Oryctolagus cuniculus: one gene and its partner. The protein of the gene in region 2 interacts with the protein of the main gene of each other region in a biochemical or structural test. Links are inferred from orthologs where the notes say so. Each region holds a gene or a part of one and is shown on either strand. Other genes may lie near its edges. The genes, in order: CACNB4 and CACNA1A.

Region 1 (3,907 bases), on a different chromosome or scaffold from region 2:
TTGGACCATTTTATCAAGCCAATGAATCCCAGTTCCAGAAAGCTTTATGAAATATATTCTAAAAGTCAACAGTGGCTCCAATTATACCCAAAATTATTTAGCATGTAATGATTTTTACATTTTTAAGCCAGCACACAGCAGCACATTTTACAAAAACATATTATCTGATTCACTTACTGGCATAAACTGAGGACAGAAGGAAAGATCAAAAGAATACTGTTTTGTTTGTGTTTGGAAGAGCAAAGTATAAGTGCAGAGATAGTGTGGGCTAACTCAAAAGTTCTGGTCAAACAGTTCATGGAATGCAGAGCCATATAATAGTATTTCCAAGAATTTACAATAATAAAGTGCTCCCCAAAATAGGCACCTACACCACAAGACCTCCAACAGTGTAATTCACAAATGTTTAAAATATGAACGTTGTCTTTGCCTTACCAAGTACACAAGCTAGCATTGCAAAGGGAATGGAACCCACTTTGAGAATGAATGCAGAATCCAAAGGTATTTCTCTTAACCATGCACATGCTCTGTGCTCACTGAATTAAATAGCAGTGACAATTCCTGATCCTGCAGCAGGTGAAATTCTGCATAATAAATACAATCCAAACCCGCTTGAAACAGACCCTTCAGGAGAGGTCTGCGCCCAGTTGTGGGTCTAAAGCCCATTCAGTGGCCATGATCTGTTTCAACTGATGATAACCATCACTTCACAAACACACCGCAGCGATCACAGGTTGAAACCATTACGCAAGGATCTGACTGACCTACAGGGGAAGGAAGTTCTCAAGGTCACCCCAGCAGACCAAGGCAGAACCTGAGAGGGAAGCTTCTTGGTGAGCTAACTACAGTCTTCCCAGGCCACCCCAAATGCCAACACCCCAGCGGTTTCCGTTCCAAAGAGAGATCAAGGTGACTCACTTTTGCATGATCTCCAGCACCCAGCGCTAGGGGTGGTTTCACGTACAGTAAGGAAATTCAGGACCGCTTTCCTGTGTCAAGGTGAAAGGCACATCAGCCTCAGCCTTCGTGGCCGTGCCGGCCACAAACAACACTGCTTGGAACCACGCCGAAAAAAAAATAAATAAAACGCCTAATACAAACCGCGCAGACCCCGGCTACTGAGTGCCGGCGTTGGCTTACTTGCATTTATTTAACCAGGTCCGACCGCTTTCCCCTAAATAAGCGAATCAAAGAAGAGGTCCCAAAGTGAGACCGAACTTTCTGCTCCAAGCGTTGTTCCTTTGACTAGAGCTCGAAGATCTCTCCCAATATCTAGACAGAGTGTTCAAAATAGTAAAGGCAGAAGAAACCCTTAACTCTCACTCCGGCGCAAGCCAGGTCCCCTGCACCCAGGGGGGTCCGGTGACTCCAAGCGAGTTTCTCCCAGTCCGGAAGGTGCAAGCAGCAACATTCCCAGCTCTCAAGTTCGGGGTGCCTGACCAACATCCCTGTCCCTGCCGACCCGAAGCCGTACAAACTTCCCGGGGTGGTGCAGAGACGCCTGGACCCAAAGACTGCGGGGATACCGGGCCTGGGAGAGAGAGACGCGGTCCGAGAAGGCGAGCGCGGGGACGAGGACGCCAGGATCCGGAGACTTAGGAGCCCGGGCTACTGGGAGACAGACGCAGCCCGAAGCGGCGCGCGCGATCAGGGACCGGACCTGCAGCTGCCGCCGCACGTGGGGGCCGTGCTGGGTGCCAGGACCCCCGGCGCCGCTCGCCCGCCCGCGCCCGCAGCCTACCTGTCTGAGAATGAAGCTGGTCGAAGTGGTGCTGCCATCGGATCTTTTCAACCTGCTCCTCCGGGTCGTGGTGCCTCGGGCCACCTGGACTCGATACACGGGGCCAGAGAGAAGCCGGTGAGCACCGCAGCGTGGAGCGGGGTGACCACCCTGGCCAGAGTCCGCCTTGGGACCAGCTCCCTGGGATCCCCCAGAGCCCGCACCCAAGTCCCCAAGTCTCCTCCGAGGCTCCCGAACACAGCCCCCACCCCCACCCACCCACTGCAAGCCTGGACGGCTGAAAAGATTCCCGAGGAGAGCAGCCCGCGAGCACCCACCACATCCATCAACAAAGACTCTCGGGGTGCGGGGTCCGAGTCCCCGGCATCCGCTGGGGGAGGCTATGGGCTCCGGAGCCGGAGCGCAAAGACCTGGACTACGATGAGGAGGAGGAGGAGGAGGAGGAGGAGAAGGAGGAGGAGGAGAGGGAGGAGGAGGAAAGGGAGGAGGAGCGGGAGGAGGAGGAGCGGGAGAGGAAAGGGACGCGGAGAACGGATGGGGAGCCGGGCAGCCGACTCCCGGGACTCGGGGGCCCAGCCAACCTGGCACAAAGGCGGGGCGCTCTTGGGCGGCGAGGAGGCGGAGGCGGAGGAGGGGGCGGTACCTGCGAGGTGGGGGAATGCGGCCCGTCCACGGTCCCGTTCTTGGCGTAGGAGGAGGAGGACATGGCTCAGAGCCGCCGCATGGCCAGCCCGTGCGCGGTGGGCGGAGGGCGCGCGGGCCCCGCAGGCTGGGCTGCGACCGGAGGGGGAGGGCGGCAGGACTTCCCCACCCGGCTCCCTGGCCCCGCGCCGGCTCCCGGGCTCCCCGCCCGCACTTCGGAGAGCGTGGCACCTTAAAGGGGCCGAGACGCTGCCCCCGCGCCGGCTTCGGGGTCCCGGGGAGGGGGCTTCTTGGGATCTCGCCTCCCCGAGCCGATCGGGAGCAGCTCTCTCCCACCTAGCGGGCGCTTTACATCAGAGCTTCCCAGAGGAGGCAGGGAGGGGAAAATCTGGGATGGGGGTGGGAAGATTAAAATAGTCTGCACAGTTTAAAATGAAACAAAGGTGGCACGGTTCATGAATCAGGACTTGGGGAGGGAGGCTGGTGCAGTGTGGCGGGGAGTGGGAAAGACCGAGTGGGGGTGTGTGTGTGTGCGCGCGCGCCGCCCTGGAATTTTAAAAGGGCAAAAGCCAGCCTTCCTTACTCGACTTCACTCAACCGCTCGCTGTGGTAAGACGTGGGATGAGGGGGCTGCTTCCTGTTCGTGTTTTTGTGTTGTTTGGGTAACTCCAGCCTCAGAGCCACGAGACACACGCGCGCGCCCGCACACTCACACACGCGTGCGCACACACACATTCAGCCTGGGCGAGAGACCCTGCTGGCCAGTCTTTGGCAAGATGCAGCCCCTCACAGGAGACCGGCAGGTCCTAAGGAGTTTTGAAGGTCAAGTTAGACCTGCTAAGGAGCAAGAGTTGGCCACGTGCCTCCCATTTCTCCGTGGCTGGCAGTTAGCAAGGGAGGGAGGTCATCCTGGCCACCATCCCCAACCTTTGCCTTGCTGCCGCGGCCTGCCTTCCGCAAACATATTCGGAGGTGAATCTGAAATCACACGAAAAGCCAAGGATTGTGGCGAAGAGGGATTTGAAGTCATAAGAAGAGTAAGGAAAAATATATGCAAATTCAAAAATAGTTACTGCACCGAATCCATCATTAAAATATACAAGGTCTCTCAAATCACTAGGTCAGCCATCCTGCCTTGTATTCTAATATTGTATTGATTAATTTATTTACAGAAATAAATGCCATGTTTAAGACTTACTTGGCCTTGAGGTCCTGGTTCTTTCTTACCATCCACCTGATACTTTCTTTCCACTCCTACCCCCCTTGATTTATGCCAAGGTTGTGTGTGTGTGTGTGTGTGCTTAACTAGTCTCTGCCTCTAGGCTCCCTACTACACACACACACACACACACACACTTCCAATTAGACACTATAGGAAAATGCATATTCCCAAAATCTGTTTTGCTCAAGTCACTTATCTAAAACATAGCCCCAAATCTGTGGTCCAACCACCAAGCGTCCCTGCATTTCTGATTATCACCACATTTCACCAACTTGATTGCTCCACACCTACCTTCCAGCAAG
Region 2 (3,807 bases):
GAGCAGTGGCCAAGGTCACACGGCCGAAGGCTGCAGACGGCACCCTCAGCGCACCCCGGCAAGGGGGCATGGTGGGCGAAATCCTACGGGCTGCAGCCCCTTGGCATCCCACCCGGCCTTACCGGGTCCTGCCCGCACCTCCACGCACAGCCACTAGAGGGCGCCAGCGAGCACCTGAGTCAGTCTCTAGCTCCTTGGCTGCGGCTTAACCCCGGAGCAAAAACTGGAGCCTTCTGTGGTGGCCCCCGTCCCTCACCACCAAAGCCCTGGAGGACCTGGCACGCCACCTCCCTGCCCTCATCTCTGGTGCACTGTGCTTGGCCACTTCCTTCTCCTGCCCCCCAAGCTCACCAGGCAAAGTCCAACCCCAGGGCCTTTGCACTGGCTGCTGGCCCCTGGTCCGGGGCGCCTTTCCCTGGATAACCCCTTGGCTCCCTCCCTCCACTCTTCCTCCAAGCCTCTGCTCAGCTGTCCCCTGCTTCTGCTCTGTTTTGTTCACAGCTGAACAAGGCCAAAACATAAAAATGAAATAAAAAGCAGCAGCCGGCATACAGTAAGCGCTTCATAAGTGTCGGTGACGCCAACCAAACTGACCTGGGTTTTCGCTCCCTGGCCCTACAGCACAGGGACCGGCTCCTGAGCTCGGCCACACCCCCAACCCCACCCCTTGCTCCGATTGGTTCCCAGAGTGGGTGAGGACAGGCAGGCAGCCCCGGCGTTACCAGGGAGACCCGCACGCACCTGCTCCTCGCGCATGGCCTGCAGCTTTTTGGCTTTGCTCTGCCGGTAGTACTCCATGATCATCATGGCGGCATAGATCTTGCCCACTGTCAGGTCCGTGGCTGGGGAGGGGCACAGGGCAAGCTCACTTGTGCCACCCCGTCCTCTCCCCATCCCGGCGCCCTCCCCATGTGGGTGGATCGGAGTTCCTGGGGTGGGGAGGAGCGAGAGCCCCAGACTAGGCCCTTACACTTGTGGGGTGTGACCAGCAGGTCCAGTGTCTTCTGGGACAGGTTGGGCCAAATGGCCATCATCTCTTTGCGCAGCTCAGCGTCCATCTGCTGTTTATCTGCTCCGCCTGTAGGGGGCGTGGCACACACAGACCCTTAGCCGGAGCTCTCTCCAGGGCTCCCTAGAGCCTGGTCCAGAGGCAGCTCTGGGCACAGCTGCCCGGGCTCTGGTCCCTGGCCGGGGCAGGCAGGTGAATCCACTGCTTTTGGGATTCCTGCAGCCCGTAGCAGAGCAAGGTCCTGGCAAACCCTGCTTCTGATCGAGGCCCCCTGGGGAGGCGGCAGGGGAGACGGCCTAAGTGCTTGGGTCCCTGCCACCCCCGTGGGAGACCCAGATGGAGTTCTGAACTCTTGGCTTCTGGCTTGGCCCAGCCCTGGCAAGTTGTAGGCCATTTGGAGACTTGAACCAGCAGATGGAAGATTCTCTCTCTCTCTGTCTCTCTCTGCTTTTCAAACAGATGAGCAGTTAAAGACGGTGAGTCAGACCCATCCTGCCTCCTGCGCTTTGAAACCGAGGGTCTCCAGTTCACTCTCCGCGCCTCAGTTTCCCCACCTGCCTCGGGGGAATGACGGTGCTCTGGGACTGGCCTCACCTGTTGGTTTGCCAACAGAAGGTGTGCACACCTTGAATGAGGTCCACCCGCACTTGCAGGTTTTGTCCCTGCTGGGAGGCATTAGGGGGTGTGTGTGCAAACTCCGTGGGATGCTGGTGTTTGGGGGCGGGGCCTCTGGGGGCGTGGCTAGGACTAGATGAAGTCATCCCCAGTGAGCACAGAGTGAGGCCTCCCTGACCAAGGTTTCTTCCTCCCTCTCCCAGGTGTCTCCAGCCGTGAACTTGGCCTTGGTCTGAAGCTGATTCCTTGGCCGTGGGGGCTGGGAGGGAGGCAGAGAGGGAAGGGTCTGGTCCTTCCTGCCCTGCCTGTGTTTGCTAGGGGAGGGGACAAGTAATGAGTTGTTTTTTTTTTTTTTTTTTTTCATTTTATTTGAAAGGCAGAACAACCAAGAGAGATCTGCCATTTTCTGGTTCAACTCTCTCAAATGCCCACAGCAGCCAGGGCTGCCCCAGAACTCCATCGGGGCCTCCCCCCACCATGTGGCTGGTGACACAAGGGGCAGCATCTGCTCATTGTGGGACAGCCCAGGGGTAGCACAGCAGGAGTGGGAAATGCACCTGTTAGGGTTCGTGCCTCGGAGGCCCTTGGGGGCTGCCAGCGACTCCAACCCTGGGTTCCATCACAGACACTGACCAGCAGGTGCACAGACCCTGCGCTGAGCCAGATGTGGATCCCAGAGGTGCTGGACACAGCCAGGCAGGACAGGGGCCAGAGGAGTAGAGGAGTATTTCACTGTTTCCACAATTGGCTAAACAGCCGCCCCCTCCCACCATGGGTGCCCCCAATGTCCCTCTGCGTCTCTCCTTCCCATCAGTCCCCTGCCTCCCACTTTTTTTTTTTGGTTGAATTCTGTAATGAACACACAATTATTCTTAGGTGTTCAAATTTAACTGAAAAGTGATCTCTGTTAAATATAAGAGTGGGAATAAGAGAGGGAAGAGATGTGCAATTCGGGACATGCTCAAGCTGACTTGCCCCAAATGGTGGAGTTAGAAACATGCCAGGGGATTCCAATACAATCCCATCAAGGTGGCATGTACCAATGCCATCTCACTAGTCCAAGTGATCAATTTCAGTTCACAATTGATCACACTGATAGGTCTAAGAGTCAAAGGGATCACACAAACAAGACTAGTGTCTGCTAATACTAACTGATAGAACAAAAAAGGGAGAGAGTGACCCAACATGGGAAGTGGGATACACAGCAGACTCATAGAATGGCATATGTCCTAAGTAGCACTCTGGCCTCAGAATCAGACCTTAAGGCATTCGGATATGGCTGAAGAGCCCATGAGAGTATTTTAGGCATGGAAAGCCAAGACACTCTGAAAAAAAAAAAAAAAAAAAAAGAAGAAGAAGAAGACCTAAATGAATGATCTCTGCGAGTGAGATCCCAGTGGAAAGAACGGGGCCATCAAAGAAAGAGGTACCTTTCTCTGAAGGGAGGAGAGAACTTCCACTTTGACTATGACCCTGTCGGAATAAGATCGAAGTTGGCGAACTCAAAAGGCTTCCATAGGCTTGGCAACTCATGACTAGAGCCTAGGGAGATTACTGATCCCATAAACAAGAGTGTCAAATTGTTAAGTCAACAACAGGAGTCACTGTGTACTTACTTCTCATGTGGGATCTGTCCTTAATGTGTTGTCCAATGTGAAGTAATGCTGTAACTAGTACTGAAACAGTATTTTACACTTTGTGTTTCTGTGTGGGTGCAAACTGATGAAATCTTTACTTAATATATACTAAATCGATCTTCTGTATATAAAGATAATTGAAAATGAATCTTTTTTTTTTTTTGACAGGCAGAGTGGACAGTGAGAGAGAGAGACAGAGAGAAAGGTCTTCCTTTGCCGTTGGTTCACCCTCCAATGGCCGCCGCTGCAGCCGGCGCACCGCGCTGATCCGATGGCAGGAGCCAGGAGCCAGGTGCTTTTCCTGGTCTCCCATGGGGTGCAGGGCCCAAGCACCTGGGCCATCCTCCACTGCACTCCCTGGCCACAGCAGAGAGCTGGCCTGGAAGAGGGGCAACCGGGACAGAATCCGGCGCCCCAACCGGGACTAGAACCCGGTGTGCCGGCGCCGCAAGGTGGAGGATTAGCCTAGTGAGCCGTGGCGCCGGCCTGAAAATGAATCTTTATGTGAATGGAATGGGAGAGGGAGTGGGAGCGGGAGATGGGAGG

Evidence for each region.
Region 1: the proteins of CACNA1A (region 2) and CACNB4 form a complex in vitro, tested with the Homo sapiens proteins (2 studies listed by BioGRID). The link is inferred for Oryctolagus cuniculus from reciprocal best matches to the Homo sapiens genes CACNA1A and CACNB4.

The regions. Positions count from the first base shown.
Region 1 is NC_091434.1:89,783,104-89,787,010, reverse strand, and holds the start of CACNB4 (voltage-dependent L-type calcium channel subunit beta-4), read right to left. Parts: upstream 2,594-3,907; 5' UTR 2,448-2,593; coding exon 2,385-2,447; intron 2,202-2,384; exon of another isoform or gene 2,068-2,201; coding exon of another isoform or gene 2,059-2,067; intron 1,826-2,058; coding exon 1,742-1,825; intron 1-1,741. UniProt on the Homo sapiens protein: The beta subunit of voltage-dependent calcium channels contributes to the function of the calcium channel by increasing peak calcium current, shifting the voltage dependencies of activation and inactivation, modulating G protein inhibition and controlling the alpha-1 subunit membrane targeting.
Region 2 is NC_091447.1:62,578,838-62,582,644, forward strand, and holds part of CACNA1A (voltage-dependent P/Q-type calcium channel subunit alpha-1A), read right to left. Parts: intron 1,079-3,807; coding exon 971-1,078; intron 843-970; coding exon 742-842; intron 1-741.